3 linked regions of the Notamacropus eugenii genome follow. The protein of the gene in region 3 interacts with the protein of the main gene of each other region in a biochemical or structural test. Links are inferred from orthologs where the notes say so. Each region holds a gene or a part of one and is shown on either strand. Other genes may lie near its edges.

Region 1 (7,928 bases), on a different chromosome or scaffold from region 3:
GAGCAGAGAGTTAATACAGGACTGACCTGGAGCTTGAAAAAAAGACTAAGGGCTACATAATCTAGATCTGGGTCTCCTCTTTATAAAAATAATTGAATATATGGGAGCTAATGAGGTCACCAACAGAAAAAATATAAAGAGTCCTAGCATACAGTTTTGGGGGAAACCTATGAAATGCTATGGAGGACAAACATATGAAATTAGAAAACAATAGTGGGGAGGAGAGAGAGGGAGAGTAAAAGAAAGACACAGAGACAGAGAACACACCATCTCAAAAACCTAGAGAGGAGATAGTATCCAAGAGGAGATAATAGTCAACAGTGTCAAACTCTGTAAAGAAGTTGGAGAAGGATAAGAACCAACATAGTGTCATCATATTTTGCAAATTTAGAAGTCACTAGCTGATGCAAAGTACAGCTGCTGCTTCTCAAAAAAGGATGGAAAGAACCAGGAAAACAACATAAACAAAGACAATAGAAACGGAAAGAACAATCGACCAAGCCTGGCTATCAAATAACACCTATGTAAAGACACCTTTCCTATTTTTTTTTTTTTTACATTTTAGCAAAGGAGGGGACCATGAGTGTGGAATACTGCTTATATCCAATCTTTTTGATATGATACCTAGTTTTACAAATTTTTTTCCTTTCTTCTCTTTCATTAAAGTCACAACTCACTAATATTAAGTTGCTGAAAAGATGAGAACCTGCAGTGGTAGAGAGAATCGTAAGTGCAGTCCCCATCCTTACTCTGTAAGGGAGGCCACTGAGAGGGAAAGGATACAGTAAACAAATTTTAAAACAAAAGACATCAATAAAATTATTCACAAAATTAAAAGATTGTGACTTTTAAGTTTCTGTTGAATGGACAAGTTAGGGAACGAGATACTAACAAACTGAGACGTGAGAAGACTTCAAGTGAAGGCAGCGCGTAAGTGAGTTCGGATTTTTCAAGAAGTTAAAAAGGATTAACAGTTTGCAGGGTTGATATAGTCCAGAGAGGAGTTAAAGATAAGAGTTGAAGCTAGCAGGTTTGTAATGAGTAGAAAAGAGATCAATAGGTAAGGTGAGTACTAGAGAGCTAAAGGATGACAATGGGACCAGATTCAGCTGAAGAAGAAAAGGATGCTGATTCTGAGGGCAAATGTGGAGGGTCTGGCCTTGGAAAGGTTGGAAAAGACAAATGTCCAAAGAGTGCTAAACTTGGCGTCAGGAAGACTCAAGGTTTAAAAAATCCTATCTGCCATATTTATTAGCACTAAGGGGCAACTCAAGTCACTTATACCTCTCTGAGTTCAGTTTTCTGACCTGTAAAAAGGGGATACAAATACCCGTAAGTGCCTAGTTCAGAGTTGTTATAAGGTCTAAGAACCAAACAAAGTACTTCACAAACTTTACAAAATGTATGCGAATGTCAGCTATTATTATTGAATGGCAGGTTCTGAAATGTTTAACTGAGTCAGCCTTATAAGGATGACGAAAATTGCCAAATTCTATTTGGAATCATAACTAAAGATCTATTAACCTTCCTCTCAGGCCTTCTATGCTTCCATTGACTAGTGAGTGACATTCCCTGGATTCCAAGATCTAAGCCTTAAAGGGGGGTCTATTGTACATTTTAACTTGTGTAAGACACGAGGTACAGATCTTTAAAAAATTATTCTTTGTTTTTAATGATCTGACTCGGTTAAAAAAACAGTATTTGGGAAATAGGGAGAAAATATCATGAAGCAAGTGTTCATGTTTATGGTCGATTCTTCAAGGGCTTGGTATATTTTCATTATTGTAGTGATTAACGGCATTCTGGTCTCCAGCTTCCCATCCAGTTCCAAGTTTTAGAGATGGGAAGAAACTGCACATCCCACGACAGCGCACGTGGAAGTCAGTGGCTTAAGCTCAATGGGGGGGAAGGCCACAGAAAAGCCAAACGAAATTGAACTCTGTCCCACGGCCAGGATCGGAAAGCCTGCTGCTTGCCAGATACGACTCTCGCTTGCAACCACTACCACAGCTGAAGGGGGGTGGGGTGGGGAAGTCCACCCCAAACAGGCGCACCCAGCCAGGGAGGTGCTTCCCACCCCCTACTCCTTCTTCCAGGGATTTCCCTGCCCCCATCCTGAGAGCAGGAGGAGCCGCCATCTTCAACTCTTCCTTCCACCATTATACAACCTCTCTTCTCCCCGCTGCCCTCGCCGTCCTCCAGCCTCCTTCTCCCCCGCGCCCCCAAAACCCCAAAGCCGAAAAAGCTGCACCAGTCTGGGTCGGTGGAAGTAGCGGGGATGGAGCAAAGCGCCCCACCGGTCCCTTTAAACGGCTCTGCTCCCCAACACCTTCAAGAAGACTCTCCCCCCCACCCCGGGCCCGGGCACCCCTCAGCTGAGCCGCCGAAGGCCGCGCGACTGCAGGCGGCGACCAGCGGCCGCCCGCTTCCACCCCGGCTGCCTCGTCCCCTCCTCCGCCCTCCCCGGCTCCCCCCCGCCGAGCTCCACACCCCGCGGCGCGGCCCAGCGCGCCTCCCCATGCCCCCTCCCCTGCCGGCCGCCTCCCCCTTGTCCCCGCCCCGTGCAGGAGCGCGCGCAGTGCTCCACCAGGGACGGTTTAGGAGCGCGCGCCTCGCAGCGGGGCCCAGCGCGGCGGCTCCTTCCAGAAATTTCCTCCTTCCTAGTCTCACGTATGGACACCAACACCGTGGAAACCCTTTCCAGACTGCAGGGTGGGCCGCCTCCCTCGGCCTCCTCTTCCCCCCGCCTTTCCGGTCCCTCCTGCATTCAAACGCGGCCCCCTCCCCTGCCCCGTCCCTGCTCCATGCCCTTGGGCGCGGCTTAGTGGCATCTCTTCTCCCCACGAACGGCCTGGGCGGCAGCAGTGGGGCGGCGGCGGGGAGGCCGGTGTGATTGATAGGGACGGCGGAGAGCGGCGGCGGCGGCGGCGGCGGCGGCGGAGCGGTTGAGTGACAGCTTACCTGGGTGCCAATCTTCATCACACTGACAAGCGGCTGCAGCAATCGGGACCCGCAGTGCCGCACCCGCGTCCAACCGTCACGCCGACGCCGGGCCACGCGACACAGCCTCATTCAATGGAAGGAGGGCTACGCCGACGCTCACCTTATCAATATTCAAAGCAGAGGCGGGGCCCTCGCAGGGGAAGCTCCTCCCACCCCGTGAGTCTGCGCTCAGGGGGTGGGGACTCTGGGAGAAGGGGCGGGCTGGGAGGGAGTTCGGAACGCAGCCTTTCCTCTCTGGGCCCTCCTGCCCCTCCCCCCTCCGCCTCCATGCTTAAGAGGAACAGGCCACACCCCTAGCTTTTTTTTGCTGCGCAGGGAGGGAGGAGCCTTTGGCCACGCCCACTCTCCCTCTGGCCAAAGTTCGGGAGGTTTTGAAAATGTGTTTGTTGGTTAGGTACTGGAAGTCCTCCCCCAGCCCTTTTTTATCCGACCACCACTGTGCCCTTCCTTCTCTAATCGTAATCTCTTGACTCGCGTGCATTTGTGCAAAACTGTAGAGGGAAGATGATCCTTGGGTGGATGAAGGCTTCCTCCAGGTTGGAGGAGGGGACTAGGGAGGAGGGACTGCTACCAAGACCCTGCTTCCCCCCCACCCAACGCAGAATTTCACCGTCTAGAAAGAATTGATTAGTTTTCTTCTATCCCATTACCAGCCCAAGGTGTAATGCATACTAACCTAGTAACGTTTTACAAATTATTGCAGATTCCTTAAAAATTAAAGGCTCGAATTGACAGCAGAGTGATCGCTCGGGGGATTTTGCACAACACCACAAAAATCGAAAGGAACTTTGCAAACCTTCCTTTTCCGACTTTGGGCTACATTTCTTTTTCAGAGATTGAGAATTGAAAGGGACCTCGATGACCCTCTTGTCCGGTCTGTACCTGAGAAAAGAATCTCATTTATAGGACCCATGGTTCAGTCATTGCTTAAAGACCTCCCTTTGAGGAAGAGCAGCACCCCATGGGAATGCAACCTGTTCCACTTTTGAATGACACTAAATTGTTAGGAAAGGTTTCCTTACCGAAGCCTCAATTTTCCTCTTTACAATTTCTGCCCAGTATTCCTATATCTATCTAGTGGAATCAAGAAAAATAAATCTATTACGTTTTACAGGCTCAAATACTTGAAAACAGCTATCAAGCCACTTTAAGTCTTCTCATTATGCTAAGCCTTTCTCAGTTCTTTCAGTAAATTCTCATATGTTTTTAACTCAAGGTCATTCACCATCCAGCTCATAAATGTGTTAGCTAAATGGTGGGACCTAGAAACACTCTGTGTGTGGTTTGAGCAAAGTAAAGTATAATTGGACTATCTTCATCTTTAGATTTTTTTTTTTTTTGCTTCCATGTCACACTGTAAATTCATTTTGGATTTATAATGAAAGAAACTAGCAAATATTAAGCATAGATGTTTTACTGTTCTCACAATACCCCTAGAAGGTAAGTGCTAATATTATTACCATTTTACATTTGAGGAAACTAAGGCTAACAGAGATTAAGTGACTTGCTCCGAGTCACACAGCTAGTGTGTGTCTAAGAATTTAAACTCAGATCTTCCTGATTTCAGGACAAGCACTCAATCCACTGTGCCATCTAGCTGTCTAATGCATGGAAACTCTTAATCTCTATGCTTGTAATTGTGAAGTTGGTTTTCTTGAAAGAAAAGGTAATATTTTATGTTAACTCAGTTGCTCAAATGGATGTATGATCTCATTAATTTGGAAATTCTCTTCAGGGGTGCAGATTACACAAATGCTTGCCCATCCTGTTCAGTACTTATCTATGTCCTTCCATAAATTCACCAAAAGGGGGAAGCTATCTTTACTTTGGCTTGATGGTACTACAAAGATTACCTGCGGAGCCCTCTTATTCCACCAAGAATGGCTTGATCTCACTTTGTGACTATCTTTCCCTAGCACACATTTCTTTGATGACAATTTTTATTATTGCTCTTTGAAGTTCTTCATTTGTTGCTATGTGTTTACATCTACCATGTGTCTCTTCATTGCCTTTTGTGATATTTATTTTCAACTGTAATATAAAGTGCTTTGCAAGCCTTAAAAAGCTATATAAATAAAATGTTATTATTCAGGAACTGTTTATCCAATATCTCATTTCCATGCAGCGACACTAATAGAATGTTAGTATTAAAAAGAAGAAACTTTATTTTTAGGAGAAGTTTGGACCATTAAAGGTGCTTTGCAATTTTTCAAAGACTATACAGACTGCTCTCCTCTTCCTGTTCAATTCTTAGCCTATGTAATTAATTGTCCATGAAAACAATGTTTCAGATATATATGATGATAGACAAACTTTGTAGTTTGTTCATAAAAACGTCATAACTTAGGCAATAGACATTCTTTATCCATTTGGATCTTTTCTTTGTGGATTTTCAGACTGAGAGGTTATTTATCTCTATTAGCAACCTCTTCGGTATTTCTAAACTACCAGTAAACAACAAACCTGAAGGACATCACCATTTATGGGTAACAGATCTTCAACTTGAACTCTATACTGGATCTACTCCAACACAATGACCACTGCTTTTGTTGGACATATATTTTCTTTATATATTGATATTATTTTTTTAAAAAATTTTCACTCGATGAAAATTCATCTCTCTCCCTTCCACCTCCCCACCTCATGAAAAAAGAAAGAAAAACCCTTATAATAAATATTCATACTCGAGCAAAACAAATTCATGCATTGGTCATGTTCAAAAGATTTATCTTACTTTACACTCTGGGTACGTCACCTCTGCGTCAGGAGGTAGATAGCACATTTCACTGTTGAGTCCTCTGGAATAGTGGTTGGGCATTGCATTGAGTACAGTTCTTAGATCTTGCAATGCTTATCTTTACAATGTTGTTATTGCATAAATTATTCTCCTGATTCTCCTCAGTTCGCACAAATCTTCCCAAGTTTTTCTGAAAACTTCCTTTTTAACATTTCTTAAAACACAGTAGTATTCCATTACATTCACATATTATAATTTGATCAGCCATTCTCCAATTAATGGATGCCCCCTTAGTTTCTGGTTCTGTGCCATTACAAAAAGAGCTGCTATTTTTGTGCATATAGGTCATTTTCCACTTTCTTTGAACTCTTTGGGGCATAGGCCAACTTGTGTTATAGAAGGGTCATACAACAGGCTGGTAACTTTCTGGGCAAATTGCCTTCTGGAATAGCTGCACAAGTGTTGTTATCATTATTTTCGTTGTTGATTATTCTTCATTAAGAGGACTAATTCAAGATATGCCCCAGGAAATATATTAATGCAATTAATTATCATATGAAGCAAATCCTGCTAAAACATTTTTACATTCATTAGTTTTGCATTGAAGGTGATTTTTGATACTTTTACAGTTTGAACTGAGGAAAAGTAAGATGAATTAAATTTTGTGACATTTGCATAGTTTTTTTTCTAGAAAACATTAAACAAGTGCATAAAGATTGACAAAAATCAAATAATCTGATCCTTTTATTTGTACAAGTATATCTATTTTCCAACAACCCCTCTAATATTCACCATTTTCCTCTTTTATCATTTTTGCCAGTCTGATAGGTGAATCAAAACATCAAAGTTGCTTCAGTTTGCATTTTTCTATTAATGATTTTTTATATTTTTTATATTTTATTGATAGGATGGATTTGTTCCTTTGAAAATGGCCAGGTCATACTTTGACCTTTTATCTATTGGGAAATGGCTCTTAGTCTTATAAATTTGAATCAGTTCTTTATGTATCTCGTATATAAGACTTTTATTTGTTAAAGATTTTTTTCCTAATTGCTTGCTTCCCTTCTAGATTTGTTAAAAAATAAACTTTTAAATGTTATATACTCAAAATTATCCATTGTATCTTCTGTGACAACTTATTTAGTCACAAACTTTCCCCCTGCACATGAATCTAAAAAGTAATTTCTTCCTTGTTCCTCTGATTTGTTTATATTGTAACTTTTTATCTAGGTCATGTATCCATTTGGATCCCAACTTGTTATATAGTATAAGTGGTTGGTCTAAACCTAATAAGTGCCAGAATGCTATCCCATTTTCCCAGTAGTTTTTATCAAATAGTGAGTCTTTCCCCTAGTAACTAGAGACTTTGTATTTACCAAACACTGGAGTCAGGAATAACTGAGTTCAAATCCAGGCTCAGATACTTACCAGCTATTTGACTTTGGACAAGTCAATTAACCTCTACTTACCCCAGCTTCCCCATCTGTAAAATGAAGATTATAATAACATCTATCACCTATGGTTGTGAGGATCATATGAGATAATAATTACACAGCACTTAGCACAGTGCCTGGCACATAGTTGCTCCTCCTTCATTTTCAAAGAGGACCAAAAACATAATGGCCATGTCTTGACTTGTGCATGAATTGGACTTAAGTGTGGAAGAGTTCAGCTTTATTCTCTTTTCCTGAGTCATTGAAGTCCAATGGCAAGGCAAAGGTCAGGAAGACTAACGATGGCCCAGGATGCAGTGAATGACTTTGGTGTTTGTGATATCTGACCAAGTTCTGTGTTCCCCACAGTGCCTACTTTAGCTGCCTTCATGGTTGCTGGAACAAATTGTTCCCTTCTACCCATTCTTCCAGGAAGAAGTCTTCATATGCTTGGAGCAGACATCCCTCTAACTCACCGCCAGGTCTGACATTTGTTGGTTACCCTCAACCTGCTTTAGCTCATTTGCCAAAATGGTTTTATTCGGTGTAACTGGTTAGCAAGCTACAGGTTCTTAGAGCCACAAGTAAGAGTTGGGTGAAAAAGGTGGACACCAAAGGTAGAGGAGCAGCTCTGAATAGGGCTCAGTAATCTCTCACCCCAATGGTGCTAGTTCTCCCCTGGACACATAGTAGGTGCTATTTAAAAGTCAGCTATAATAATTATTATTTTGCCCAAGTTGTATTTTTTATGATGT
Region 2 (6,955 bases), about 130 Mb from region 3:
GGCTCTTTTTCCTTTCTATTTTGGTTTGAGGGTGTCTCTTTAAGTCTTATTTAAGTAATGTCACAATATCCCCTGTTTCCCCTCATTTTCCAAAAGTCTGAGAAAGAATGTCCTGGGGTTAGAGTACTCAATAAATAAGGAAGGAGCGCTGCAGGCGTCTACTTGCTTTGAGAGGCAGCATGACACTTCTCTAGGTGGGAATTGAGGGACCAGATCCAGACCTTGCGTTACACATTTCTTTTCAGTTTCAAGTAAGAAAATATGTAAGCTGGGGATTAGGGCAAGAGGGGGCTGGGGTTTGGGGTTAGGGAGAGGAGGGAGCCTGTGTCCACAGCATTAGTGCAAAATGAGGGTGTGAGGGAGGGAGACAAGGACTTGAACTGGGAAAGAGTTATAGATCAGGTCTGAAAGATTTTTTTTTTTTTTTTGGTCTGTCACAAGGCAACTAGCGTTAATAGTGTCCACTTTAGAGATACTCACAAGAATACTACTAATCCACACCCCAAAATCGACCCCAGGATCCACAAATATTCATCTGTCTTGTGAGTGGCAAGCCAAGCAAAGAGAGAAGAAAGGAAAGAAGAGAGACTGAGTCCTCGCAGCTCAAAGGCACTGATCTGAAGAAACAAGCAAGGGGAGAAACTGAGAGAAAAGGGCAGTGAGGCTAGGGATAGGCCACTAGATCCCTGATTGCCCCCAACTTTCTGGCAGTGGAAGTGAAGGGGACCAGGAATGCCAGCCCAGTCAGCGCCCGTCCTGTTATCTTGTGCCCCTATACATACATAGTTCCCTAGAGAGAACAGTCGAGGCCTCCTACAAAGTATCTTGGGGACACCGGCATTCAAGGGCTGGGGTGGAGATGCCCTGGGGCCGCAGGAAGTAGAGAGCCCATTAGGGGATATTTTGAGGACTCTGGATGAGGGGAGACAGACGCCAACCAGGAACAATCCCTTGGGTTCTGTGGTTAGTTCAGGAGTTGACCGAGTTAGGTGAAGCTTCTGGGGAGGTGCAAGCGGACTGGTCGGAGGAAGCATCTCCTGCAGCTTCCTTGTTGGAGCCCGGGGGCACTGCAGGGGCCAGTCCTCCCTCCCGTTCTCGTTTCTTCTGCTTCATCCGCCGGTTCTGGAACCAAATTTTGACCTGCGTCTCATTGAGCTCTAGTGTGGCGGCAATTTCCACCCGTCGGGCCCGGCTCAAGTACTTGTTGAAATGGAATTCCTTCTCCAGCTCAGTCAGCTGCCGCGTTGTGAAGTTGGTGCGAATGCCACCCGCTGGGCCCAAGCCCATATCTGAAACTTTTGCTATGGGAAAGGTGGGTGGTGTTCGGGAAAATAAAGTCAGAATAGTTGTTATCCCATCTGCCCATCCATCACCCCTAAGTTTTTCCTTTCCACCACTTCTCCTCTTCTGTATACTCTTCTCCCTCCCTCTCTCCTTCTCCCTCTCGCCTTCTTTCTCTCTGCACCGTTCTTTCACCCACCTCCAGCGACAGGCTTCCACCTCCAGTTCACCATTTTGAATCTTTCTCATCTCCAATTTTCCAGCCCAAGATTCCCCATGGCCTTCTCCCCAGATCAGTCCCTAGTCTTCCTGCTACATACAGCAAATCATCTCATCCACGCCACGCCACCCCTAGCTCCTGGGGAACAAGAGAGTCCATCTAGGCCTCTCTGCTTTGGCCAGAATTGAGACATAAGAGAGTGTTGGAGGGAGAGGGAGTAAGGCAGGGTGGAGGGGGGAGAACCTACCACGAAGACTGAAGTAGAAAATAATAGAGGATGGGGAAGAAGCCCCAAAGAGGTCACATTGGGAGCTTCTAACTTTATCCCCACTAAGACCCAAACTAAATTGGGCTGGGATGAGAAAGAAGGACATGAAAGTCTACTGGCTACTTCCCTTATCTGCTGCTCTGAAAAGTAGAATTATACGTCAGGGAAAACTGTAAATGCCTCAGAACACCAAACATTCTTCAATTGAAACTCAAAATTTGGCTGGGAAGTTGCTCTCCCTTGCCTGCCCACTACAGTCCCCCAAGCCCTAGCTTACCTGTCTTTGGAGGGTTTCGTTTGACCTTCATCCAGTCAAAGGTTTGGGTGGTGGGCATGCTCAGCTCCGACGGGCAGGGTGGTTCCTTGTCCTCCGCTAAAAGATCCCCATAGGATGGCCCGAAGGCCGAAGGTTGCTCAGTCCCATAAGTGGGCTGTGGCGGAGGGTAGGGCCCTGCCCCAGTCCCTCCTGTAATATAAGTCTCGGATAAGCTCCCCAGCTGGCTCCCATACCCCGACTGCTGAAAATAGCCCCCATCCCCATCATGTTGGCCCAAGGAGTAGTATTGGGAGGGGCCATAGCCAGGGCTGCAGGTGGGTGCAGTGTATCCCGAGGGTGAAGAGTTGGTGAAGGGGACCCCCAGTGCTGATGGAGTCTGTGTGGGGTAGCCTGGATTCTGCTGGAGGACAGGGCTGGGGAGACCACTTCCATAACGAGGTTCCCCTCCATAGCTGTCACCGGGAGAACTTGAACAAGGAGGGTAAGATGTAGGGGAGCTGTAGGCTCCAGGACCTCGATTACAGAGTGCATACTCCAAGAAGGAATTCATCCTATTATAGTCCATGCGCTGAGGATGGAGGAGGGTCAGCCCGATTTGGGGGAGACACCCTCTTGCCCTACAACCTTTAGGCAGTATGTCAAAGCTCTGAGACTTCCGTCCATGGCTGTCCCCAGGTTCTCCCAGCCCAGAGCTCCCCTAGGGGAAAGGGGTAGGGGAATGGGGGAGGGCACATGTGATCCCTCTCAGGCCAATGGGCAGCCACTGGCCAGAGTTTGGCAGCCCCTGGCGCCCATCCATCACCCCCTTGGCATTAGCATGACAAAGACACTTCAATCAAGCCCGGAACCATCCATCTGAGCGGGACACCAAAGCGTCAAAAACATCTTTCTTCAAAGACTTTGGGAAAGAAGGAGCCAGGGAAAAGGGGGGGAGGAAAGTTCCAAGAATATTCAAGAGTCTCCCCCTCCTCACCCCACCCCCCAAGTCTTAAAGAGGCCCTGAGTTATTAGATTTGGCTAACTCAGTTCCCAGCTGCCCCCCAGCCCTTCCCCCCAGCCCCCAAAGGAGGCTCCGTTCTGGGACTACAGGAACAGAGGTAGGGAATACAGCATCGTTTGGGACTATTCCACCCGGTTCTTCTCCCAATTTGTCACTGGGTGATCAGTGTGAGGGTGTGTGGGTGAGTAGGTGAGTGAATGAGTGTGATTATCTAGGGTCAAAAGGGGGGAACCCCGGGGGACTGGGGGAATGTAAAGATAGATTGAAAGGGAGAGGCATCGTCTTGTATCAGGAAGAGTTCATTAAATCAGTCAGAGGAACAGGACTTTTTTAGTGGTAGAACACTATAGATATAAAGACTATTAAAAAGGAGCTGCTGAGTCATTTCACTTTTCCTCTCTACATATAGACGTTCTCTCCCTCGTCATCCATCCATCTATTCTTCTTGCAGCCTGTCTTTATATCCTCTCTGTCTCAATCCATCTCTCTATTCGTCCATCTCCCTCCATATTTATAGTCTCTCTTTACCTCTCCATCAATTCATCTTTCTAGATGTATTTATACTTTAGCTAGCCATCCATAGCTGTAATGATCTTGCTGACTTTTCAGACTGAAATAACCCTTCTCATCTCACTCTCTGGAGAGCTTTTCTTTGGAAATGGAGACTGAGGTTGTGTGTACATGGGGCAAAGTGAATTGGTACTGTTGAGTCAATGTCTGGTGAATGAAGCCGATGTCGACTACACATCATTCCTTCTATGTCCTCAGTCCCCAACCAAAACAAACAAACCACCCACAAGTGCACTTATCAAACTCAATAGTGGCGAAATTTCTGAACATTTGTACAGATCATTTACCCATTTTCCAGAGCAGAAAAAGAGAAAAAGATGGGGATAAAAGGATCACTAGATTTGAGGGCTGGTGTCCTAACAATCCCTGAAACTCTTACCCACGTCTGATGGGGGAACCGACTGTCTTGATTTCCTGATATCTCTGTTGGAATTGCAGTTGGGGCAGAATCAGCAGTCTTCTACACTTACCTCCTTAGGACAAGAATAAGCCCTCTCAGGTAGACTCCATTGGTTCTCCTCCTCCAGACAAGGCAGACAAGGCTCAGAACAATCCACCGCCTACATTCATTTGTTACTTGTCAGGGTGTCTGCTGGGCCTGCAGCCACGACCCGGGTAGCTTTGGGAGGCCAAGAGTTCAGGGGGATACTCAGTAAACAAGCACATTAACCCAGTAACCACTAAAAGTGCCAAGTCTGTCTCAGGAGAGGAAGGGAGGTAAGAATGAGATGTCTCTGGAAGGTACCCAGTCCCTCTTCAGCCTCCTTGTCACCGTTAAGTTCAATTCAGCATTTAGAGACCCATGCTATTTTCCTGGGTGTATTTAGAAGTCATAAACTCATGACTAAATACAATACCAAGTGAAATTCCCCACAAAGAAAGGTGGAAGACAGATTTGTATCTCTGCAAAGAAATCTGTGCTCTGGTTTTTTGTCTGGGTGAAAACAGTTTCTCTTTGTTTTGATGACTTCTTTTTAAATTCAACTAAGAACCCATTACTTACCCCTACCTTACAGGACTCAGAAAACTTAGGGTGGAGTATTTGAGTAAAAGAAGTACTTTCTGCTATACGGATGAGCCAACTCTGTTGTAGGAAAGGGGACCCAGTTCATCCCTTGAAGGCATTCCAAAGTAATTGTCCTTGGGTTATCATCAGTTTGTCTTGGTTCTAAAATGTGTGTGTGTGTGTGTGTGTGTGTGTGTGTGTGTGTAAATGGATGAATGGAATCCCTTCAAAGTTCTTCAAATCTGACCATTTCTCATTCATGTTGGATTCTTCCCTAATCATAATAAAACTCACTACCATATCCTTGAAGAAAGCAGACCATCAAAGAATTAAGAAGGGCTTTCTATTTCCCTCATATATATCCCCTTTTCCCCAAAGAAACATAAACACAATTTTAAGCCCCAGGACATAGGATTGTGGGGGAAGGGAGGACACAGCTGGAACTTTGCTAAAGAGAGAGATTTGATGGGGGAGGGGGAAAAGACTGTGGTCACTGCTGTGGAAAAAGAGAGAGAGGGAAATGAAGGAACAAAACAAAGGGAGAATGGGGCAGAGAGAAGAATCGGGAGAGGAAAAGAAGAAATAGAAAGAGCAAGGTGGAGTGGAGTAGCAGCACTTTCCTCCCTAAAACAGCTCATTTGTTTTTATGATACTCCAAAGATTTCTCCCATTTTAGTACTTTCCTTAGAATGGATGGGGGACAGTTCTGATGTCTCTTCTCACTCCACATTATCTCCCTTCTGCCCTAACTTAGTTTTGTCTTTGCTGTGCCTAGTTTCTGGGAAGCCCTAGCACCTTCCTCAATCCAATTAAACAAACTTTTTCTTTAGGTTATTGGACTAAGCACAAAGAATAAAAAAATAAAACACTAAATGGGTGTCTGCCCTCAAGGAGCTTGTAATTCCATTGGAATGAGGGTGGAGGGAGACACAAATAACTATAATACACAAGTGCATAAAAGAAAGAGTACTACAGGAAAGCTCTCTTCCATGGGGAGGAATTGGAGAAGGCTTCTTCAAGGGGTCGGCACTAACTCTGAGGAGGGGAACAGAGACATTTGAAGAAAGGGTCAGATCTCAATAGAAGCTGCATCTGTGTGGTAGAAGGGAGTCTATTCTAAGTGGGGAAGACTCCTTAAACAAAACTAAAAAAAGAAAGGGTGAGAACAGGGTAAGTATTCCAGTCTGGCATGAGAAGACAGTACACGAAAAGGAGCAGTGTGAGATAAGACTGGAAAGTAAGTTGGAGCCAAATTGTGTTGGTCTTGAATGCCAGGCTTATATTTTCCCTTATGGTCAATTCCTCTTGAAAGTCAACGAAAGATTTTGAGGAAGGGTATGTCATATCCACTGGCAACGTGAGGTATGAATTGGAAGTAGGGGGCAGAGGTAGAAGGTATGGGTACATGGCAATAAAGAAGTTAAGAAATTGGTCAGGTTTGGGGAAAGATGGTTTGTTTTTAGACATATTGAACTGGGATTGCCTGTGTCACATCTGAGTAAATGTCCAGCAGAGTTTTGAAAACAGGACCTTGAGGTTCAGGAGAAAAAACCTAGAAATACCAGTTTGGGTCAATTAAATTAATATAACACAAATGTCTCTCCCACTTTTTCCCAAGGTGGGAGGGCCTTCTTTGGTGAGGTGAGCCCAGGCCACCACATGACACTACTAGAGACAGCTTGAGGACCTGAAAGTAGAAAAAACCCCTCTAGAGAGCAGTTTAATTTTTAAAAAATTAGCCACACAGTAATATGAAAGATGAATTGAAAAAGGTCGATTTGTTTTGGGTAGAGAAAAACCAATATGTTTTCCAGGGTAACAGTATATAAAAAAAGAATAGCAATTATCTTTTTTTAATAACTGAGGACTCTAAAGGCAGGGACACCAGTTAGAAGGCTATTGGAACAGTGTAAGACTAAGTGATAAGTATAGAGGACCTGAACCAAGATAGTTGCAGTAGGAATAGAAAGTCTATTATTTCAATCCCTATGTATCATGGAACAGTGGAGATAGGCCTGAGTTGGATCTCCTGAAAACCGAATTATAGTGGTGGTTCTTACCTTAGGAATTGTGTGTCCTGGAAAAAGTGATTCCCTGTCTCTGGGCCTTGGTTTCTCCCTCTGTGAAATGAGACATATTTCTAATGTCACTTCTAGATTTGGAGTTCTGTGAGACTATCTAGAAGAAACTTTGAGATTTTACTCATCTATCAAACATAATTGACACAGGCTAGAGTAATCCCAGCCACAATGATTTCTGGCCTAACTCTCCTTTGGTCTGAGCTCTCTGAATGACAATTCAAATAGTGCCAAATTCACCAGGGATTGAGCTGT
Region 3 (6,983 bases):
TTAATGTAAGCCTCTGGCACTCAAAACACATGCTATTTTTTTTAATCCCTTTGAAAGTTAAAAAATAGATATGCAATTAAATCAACTCTTTCCTTCTAGGGGAAAGAACCCCAGAAGCACGTTGTATATTCACTGTAAAGAAGTCCTACAGTCAGACCGTGAAAGTATCCAAATGAGCATATGCCTTTGTACCTAAAACATATACTACCTATTCGACCTATTTCATAAATAATAAATGCCCTTGCTCAAAGAATGAAAGAGAAAAAGGAAAAGTGGACACAATTTATACTATTTACTAAAGACACTCCTTATGCTTAGCAACCAAGGAGGAAGTGGTAAGGTGACAATTTCAACAACCTTTTCTTGGTAGGGGGTGAAGGGAAGGGAAAAAGTGAGTGTATTTTTCTGTAGGTATCAATGCCTTTTCATTTGTTTCTATCAATTTTTTTTTAATTCTACATGTATCTGAATACAAAAAAAAATAAATGCAGTTTTAAAGAGTTGGCATTTACATACCGTGCCTATTTGATTGGGGTGGGGGAGGGAGATGGGGAGAGGGATCTTTATATTCCATCCCAACAGCAGGTCTAATCTCTCTTGCACTATTTAAGTTTATTCAAAGTGGTGAACTCCAAGATGAGTTTTTCACTAGTTTTCCCCTAGTTACTTACATTCATACACACACACACACACACACACACACACACACACACATACATGATGTATATAGTATCCACTCATCTCCTTTCTTCCCCACCTCAAACTTAATAAAGTAGTTTATTGGTATGTGTGTTTTTCTGAAACAATGTAATGAAACAATTTGTCCCAGCTCAGAGTATAAATGCTAGTGAGAACTCTTGCCACCCCTATAATCTTTTCTTCAGATCATAAAATTATAAAAGGCATCAATGAATTCTAGAGAACTACAACCCCCCCACCCATCACTTCTTTTATATTTGGAAAAGGGTCCTTAAACCTTCCCAACTTTTCAACAGCCTCTTCATCCCCCCACTTCTGAGTTACGTGTTGCATGTGCTTCCACCTAAAATAATACAGTAATTCATTCAATCCATGCTTTTTGCTGATTTTTCTCCAGCTATCATTTCAAAATTCTCACTTTCTCAAAACATCATGTAATAAAGTCTCAAAATAACCAAGTCATTTGAGGTTCGCTCTTCTTCTTTATTTATTTTTAAAGAAAAATTCTTCAAAGGTTTCCAAAGTTTAAAAAAATTAATAATACTTCTGTGATTGATTCTGCTTTTCAAGGCTGGACAACCCCATAGACTTAAGTGGAAATTAGACTTCTTTATATTATGTTTTTCACCCCCAAGAGTTTGGGAAGGGAAAGCTTTTGGTCTGAGTTATTGGGCATTCTGTATTTTTATTTTGAAATCCACTTTCCTAAAATGCCAAAGTAAGAAATATTCATTCCTTGGCACTGGTTTAAGTTGAAAAACTGCACTTTTGTTCATTATATTTCCTCAAGGAACATCCTCAAGCTTCGTGGAGTCGACATAGAGATAAACCAACCACGGTCTCAGTTATGATTTCTAGCATCCTACCTTCAGGTGCTCCTGAAGGAGGAAAAGGCAAAAGCAATCTTTATTTCTGTGCCTATTTTTTTTTTTTTTTGAGGAACATACATAACTGATTTATGTCAGTGTAGTTTAGGAAACTGACCCAAATTAGAATTCAAAACCCAAGTGATTTTTTTCTTGAGTCTTAGAAAGCTGATCAACAGATCTACGAGCAAAATTCCATTTTTCTCCTTTCCACGGCCCATTTTTCCCCCTAAAGAGAGAGCATTAAGTATATGCAAAATATTCTCTGGATAGCTGACAACTACTGACAAAGAAATACCCTGTTCCACACACAGAAGGGAGGTCGTGGGGGGAAGGGAAGGAAAAGAGAACATGGAAATTAGAATTTTTTTTTCCTCCCTTGAGTCATTAAAGAAAATCGAAAAGATCTGAATTAGACAACTTATAATTCAGCAAATAAAAGTGTTCTTGGGACATGTTGTCCTGTAATGTGGGGGGGACCCCACAGGAAGATGGGGAATGCTGTTCCAAACTTGACAATTCTGCCTTCTGTGTGTGACTTTTTTTTTACGGCAGTAAAAAGTGCTGAGGGCCGTGGTGTGATCAGCTGGCAACATTATCTGCGTGCCTCGGTTTATGTGTTCATATACATACACACATATAATATGTATACAGACACATCACGGCATGGGCGATTACACTTCCAATAACAACGCTCCTGCAAATCTTACTCCTCCGCCATGTAGTTGCTCCACAAAACGAGAAAAGAAATAACCCGAAAAAGAATGCGCTGTAGTGATTCAAATCCCATTGTTCCCCACGCCCCCTCCCCGAAGAAAAAAAAATAAACAAACAAATAAAACCACCCAAGAAATGGAAAAGAAAAGCCTCAATCTCACCTGGCCTGCGCCTCGTCCAAACTCTGGTCTGTGATGGTCATAATTTGCTGTAAAATGTCTCCAATGTCCTGCTTTCTCCCTCCCTCCCCCTCGGTCCCTCCAGCCCCATCCTGCAAGTGTTGGGACAGGCCGGGGTGTCCTGCCATCCCCACCCCAGCATGGGAATGCATCAACCTGGGCTGATCATCCATCTCCAAAGGCAACAGCAGCCCCTGTTTCCTCCTCTTCTCCTCTGCTCGGCTCCTTGGAACTACCAAGGCTTTTTATCGTTCAAGCTGTCTCCAAATCCTTTTCAGAATAAAAGGGGGGGAGACCAAAAAAAAATCCCTTTGCCTCTTTTAGAGGATGGTGGGAGGATGGGGAGTGGGGAGAGGAAAGGGGGGGGCGTGAAAGGGTTGCAGGGTGAGGGTGGGGATGAGGGCTGATGAGGAAGGGTGTTGACTCCAAAAAGCAAGAAAAATAAACCACCTTCCCACTTGGTAAAAAGAAATCAGAGCTGAATTTTGGGTTGTTTTTAGTCCCGGCTCCTTTGCAAAGCAGAAATGGGCTCTCGGAGCTTAAATCTGTGGCTTAATCCTTTTGCAAATATGCATTGATCTGGAGAAAAAAGAGGAAGGCTGGGGGATTGCAATGCAAACTTTCCCCCCCACCCCCCGCCACCCCCCACCCCCACCCCCAGCCAGAGTGATCTCAAAGGGGGTGGGCTGTTGCAAAAGCCAGATCTCCCCCAGCAGCGGCAGCAGGCAAAGCAGAGAGAGCCTCCCTTCCTCTCCGTGTCTCTGCAAACTCCAACAGCCCCTTCTGCCTCCAGCTTTTGTTTAGCTCAGGCTCAGGACTCCTGAAACTGACACAGAAAACCACAGCCGGAGAGGAGGAGGAGGAGGAGAAGGAGGAGTGGGGGGGTGGAGGGAAAGCGGGGAGGGGGGGGGGGGAGGCGGGGAAGCTGGGAGGCTAGAGGAGGAGAGAAGGAGGGGAGGAGGGAGACTGGTTCCCCGCCCCCCGGCCCTGATTGGCCATCTGAGAAAAGACGAGCCCCTCCTCCTCCCTACTTTCCTCACATCACCTCCTTCTCGGCCTCCTTCTCCTCCTCCTCACCCAGCACTCTGTCAATCAGAGTTCAGAGGTGGGCTGTAAAGGAGGCCGAGCTTACAACCAAATCTCCGGTCCTTAAAGGTGCCACTCGTCTGATAGCTCCAATTCAATTAGGCAGTTTCCACTTATCCTCCTTCTAGAAGACGCAGGTTTTACCAGGTTCAGGTTACCCGTGGAAAGGACGTGCGTGACTTTTACTTAACTGCAAGCCGATCAAAGCAGAGTGAAAAGATTCTGGACTCTCTTAGGGAATGGTCCCCCACTCCCCCATCACCTCTCAGCCATACTGCTTTAAAACTCGCTTCTGCTACATCCTCGGAATCCGGAGGGATTCCTTAGGACGCTAGTGTGACAACACTGAACGAAGCAAAAAGAACGAATAGCCATTCTAAATAGCCAGATGGACAAAATCAAATTCACTGAGGATTGATTCACAATAACAAACAATAGGCTGGTTGCATCAGAAGTAAATTAAGCACAATAAAACTAAATAATGCTGAAGCAGCACAAATTTTAACAAGGAGAACTGTGTCAAGAAAAATTCAACTTTTTTACCCCATCCATACTTCCCTCCTCCCCACTACTGGAAAATTACTTCTTAGAGTTAGACTCTCATGGCACACATTTAAGTGGCACTTTGTATTGTAGGTTTACAAAGTACTTTCCTCAAAAAATCTCTGAGCGGAATAATGCAAACAGTATATTCATTTATGGCAGGGGAAAAAATGATAAAATAATTTTCCCCATGTGACCCAGCTGGTAAATACTGAAGCCAAGAATTGAATCAAAATCCTTTCACTCCCAACTACGGGACTTTATTCATTCCACCAAATGCTTAATAACTATTAGTAAGAAACAAAGAAATAAGTACTGAGAGTCTAGTCTTAAGTATTTTTAAATGTAGTCCTGAAAAACGTAACTATGGACTGGAAAGAGGAGGGCAGATTGAGTGGCTCTTTCCCTAAATGTCAGGGAGAATAACAGGAAAGTAATTTAGCCACCCAAAGTCTTAGTTTCCTTATCAGCAAAAGATAAGAATTGCTGCCAAGTAGCACTTGCTAGGTGCTTTGAGATCATCAGATGAAAAATGTTATTCTTAGCATCAACCCATTACCCAGTCTCCTTCCCACTCATTAGCACAAAACAAGTTTGGCAAGATAAGTGAAGTGGGTAATTATTAAGGCATTCCTGAGCAGCTTTTAACAGGCTGCTTGACAGGACAGGACAATGGCATAAGGGCATGAATATGATTTGTAATTACAAAGTCATATTATTAATGACTATTTTATTAACATGTATATACTGATTTATAAGTTCTTTTAAGAATCAAATCCTAGTGAAAAGCTAAACCATAATAATATACTTTCATATAATATAGTTATCATAGTGATAATATGCAGTCATGCAATTTAAAACAGACCCAAAGTCCAGCCCAAATAAATTAGCCTGAATCTAAAGAAAATAAGGTTAAGACTAAGAACTTCAAGTTATAATGGCACTTAAGCCTCACTATAATGTAATCATGCCATAATAGCTCCATTATATTCTTTAATCCTCACAGCAACCCTGAGAAGCAGGTGCTATTATTATCCCCATTGTAAGGATGAGGAAACTGAGGCAGACAAAGGTCAAGTGACTTGCCCAGGGACACAGAGCTACTAAGTATCTTAGAGTTGGATTTGAACTCAGGTCCTTCTTCCTCCAGACCCAGGATTGTATCCACTTTGCCAGCTACATGGTACCTGAGTTCCCCTACATGGATAACATCATAGATTCTTCTCATATTCAAGTAAAATAACTGTAACTCGAATAGAGATCATTTGTCTCCCAAACTACTTTTTTTCTACTATACCACTTGATTCCCTCTATTCAGCAAAATAATTGTGCCATTATTACTTAATTTATTTTTAAATAAAAATAATTTTGTTCAATTCTTTCTGACTCTTTATAACCCCATTTGGGGTTTTCTTGACAAAGATACTGGAATGGTTTGCCATTTCATTCTCCAGCTCATTTCACAGATGAGGAAACTGAGACAAAGAAAGTTAAGTGACTTGCCCAGGATCACACAACTAGTAAGTGTCAGAGGCAAGATTTGGACTCAGGAAGATGAGTCTTCCTGGTTCCAGCTCTGGCACACTATCCACAGTACCACCTATCTGCTGCATCATCATCATCATCATCATCATCATCATCATCATCATCATCATCATCATCATCCTGCAAAGAACTGTGCTTAGTGATGTGGAGGATACATAGCACCTTCATTTGAAGAGTTTATAATTCAAGGTAAGACATAAACTATGAACCATGCATGCAATTACCAAGCTTTGTGTACAATGTGCCATAGGGATAGTTCAAAATATAGGAATCTCTGGGGAAGTATAGGTGACAATACAAAGAGATGACTGCTTCCAGTTGGAAGGTCAATGAAACAGTCATTGGAGAGGTGGGATCTTGTAAGATGGGTGAATTGGGGGTAGGAAGAAACAACATTCCAGGCAGGGAGAATGAGCCACAAAAAGTCCAAGAGACTAGAAAGAATGCACCAGTGAGTAAAGCACAGAACTTGTGATGGAGAGTAGTTGATCATAAACCTGGAAAGAAACATTTGAACCAGATAATGAAGGTCTTTGAATACCTGACTGGTGAATTTCTATTGGGAATATTCATTTTCAGAAAGACCTAGGTTCAAATTCTAACTCAGATGTTTACTAGTTGTGTGACCTTGAACATGTTACTTCATATTTCTGATTGTCAGTTCCTTCATCTATAAAATAAAGGATTTGGACACAATTTCCTCCATGGTCCCTTCCATCTCTAAATCCATTAGATTTTGGTAGGTCTAAAAATATGGTCCCTTCCAACATGGTGCAGTGAAGACTGTGAGATATTTAGAATTAAAGGACCCAGACTTGAATCTGAACTCTACCATGTGGGAATTGCAGGAATTCCCATGAAGGGGAAGTCAACCAAGTTCTCTGATCTTTGGTTTCCTCATTGAACTGGTGATTGAAGGTTAATGATGGGTAGGAAAAAGAGTTAAAGATCTTTCTCAGCCATTAATAGGCCTCTATACCTTTTGTTAATTTCTATTGAGGCACTGGGTCAGAGGGTCCTGCCCTCCAGCTCTGAAAGGTATATAAATAGTCTGAGGTGAGGTTTTGTTTTGGGACTTACTCAATGAAAGTGTTTGTTTGGCCAGATGAGACTCTGGGTAGCTGCTAAGAAGCCACCTGGCTTTGAAAATCCAGATGTTGGTGCTTTTCTCTCTAGTAACTATGTATTTATGGTCAGACAGTTTGAGCTGTCTGTTGATCCGTGATGTACATATTGCTTATGATCAGACAGTTGGAAATCTTGTCTGTTGATTTTTGTTTCTCTGTATTCTCTGAAGTTCAGGGTGCTGACTTTTTCCAGTGAACTAAGTGAATAATATATGTGCTTG

Evidence for each region.
Region 1: the proteins of PBX1 (region 3) and PKNOX1 form a complex in vitro, tested with the Homo sapiens proteins (2 studies listed by BioGRID). The link is inferred for Notamacropus eugenii from reciprocal best matches to the Homo sapiens genes PBX1 and PKNOX1.
Region 2: the proteins of PBX1 (region 3) and HOXB1 are reported together in a solved structure, tested with the Homo sapiens proteins (2 studies listed by BioGRID and IntAct, with this or other methods). The link is inferred for Notamacropus eugenii from reciprocal best matches to the Homo sapiens genes PBX1 and HOXB1.

Annotation. Positions count from the first base shown.
Region 1 is NC_092876.1:415,902,338-415,910,265, forward strand, and holds the start of PKNOX1 (homeobox protein PKNOX1), read right to left. Parts: upstream 3,064-7,928; 5' UTR 2,962-3,063; intron 1-2,961. UniProt on the Homo sapiens protein: Activates transcription in the presence of PBX1A and HOXA1.
Region 2 is NC_092873.1:352,501,120-352,508,074, reverse strand, and holds the start of HOXB1 (homeobox protein Hox-B1), read right to left. Parts: upstream 3,045-6,955; 5' UTR 2,612-3,044; coding exon 2,047-2,611; intron 1,302-2,046; coding exon 970-1,301; 3' UTR 1-969. UniProt on the Homo sapiens protein: Sequence-specific transcription factor which is part of a developmental regulatory system that provides cells with specific positional identities on the anterior-posterior axis. Acts on the anterior body structures.
Region 3 is NC_092873.1:482,285,171-482,292,153, forward strand, and holds the start of PBX1 (pre-B-cell leukemia transcription factor 1), read right to left. Parts: upstream 3,004-6,983; 5' UTR 2,912-3,003; exon of another isoform or gene 2,732-2,911; 5' UTR 2,635-2,731; coding exon 2,444-2,634; intron 1-2,443. UniProt on the Homo sapiens protein: Transcription factor which binds the DNA sequence 5'-TGATTGAT-3' as part of a heterodimer with HOX proteins such as HOXA1, HOXA5, HOXB7 and HOXB8. Binds to the DNA sequence 5'-TGATTGAC-3' in complex with a nuclear factor which is not a class I HOX protein.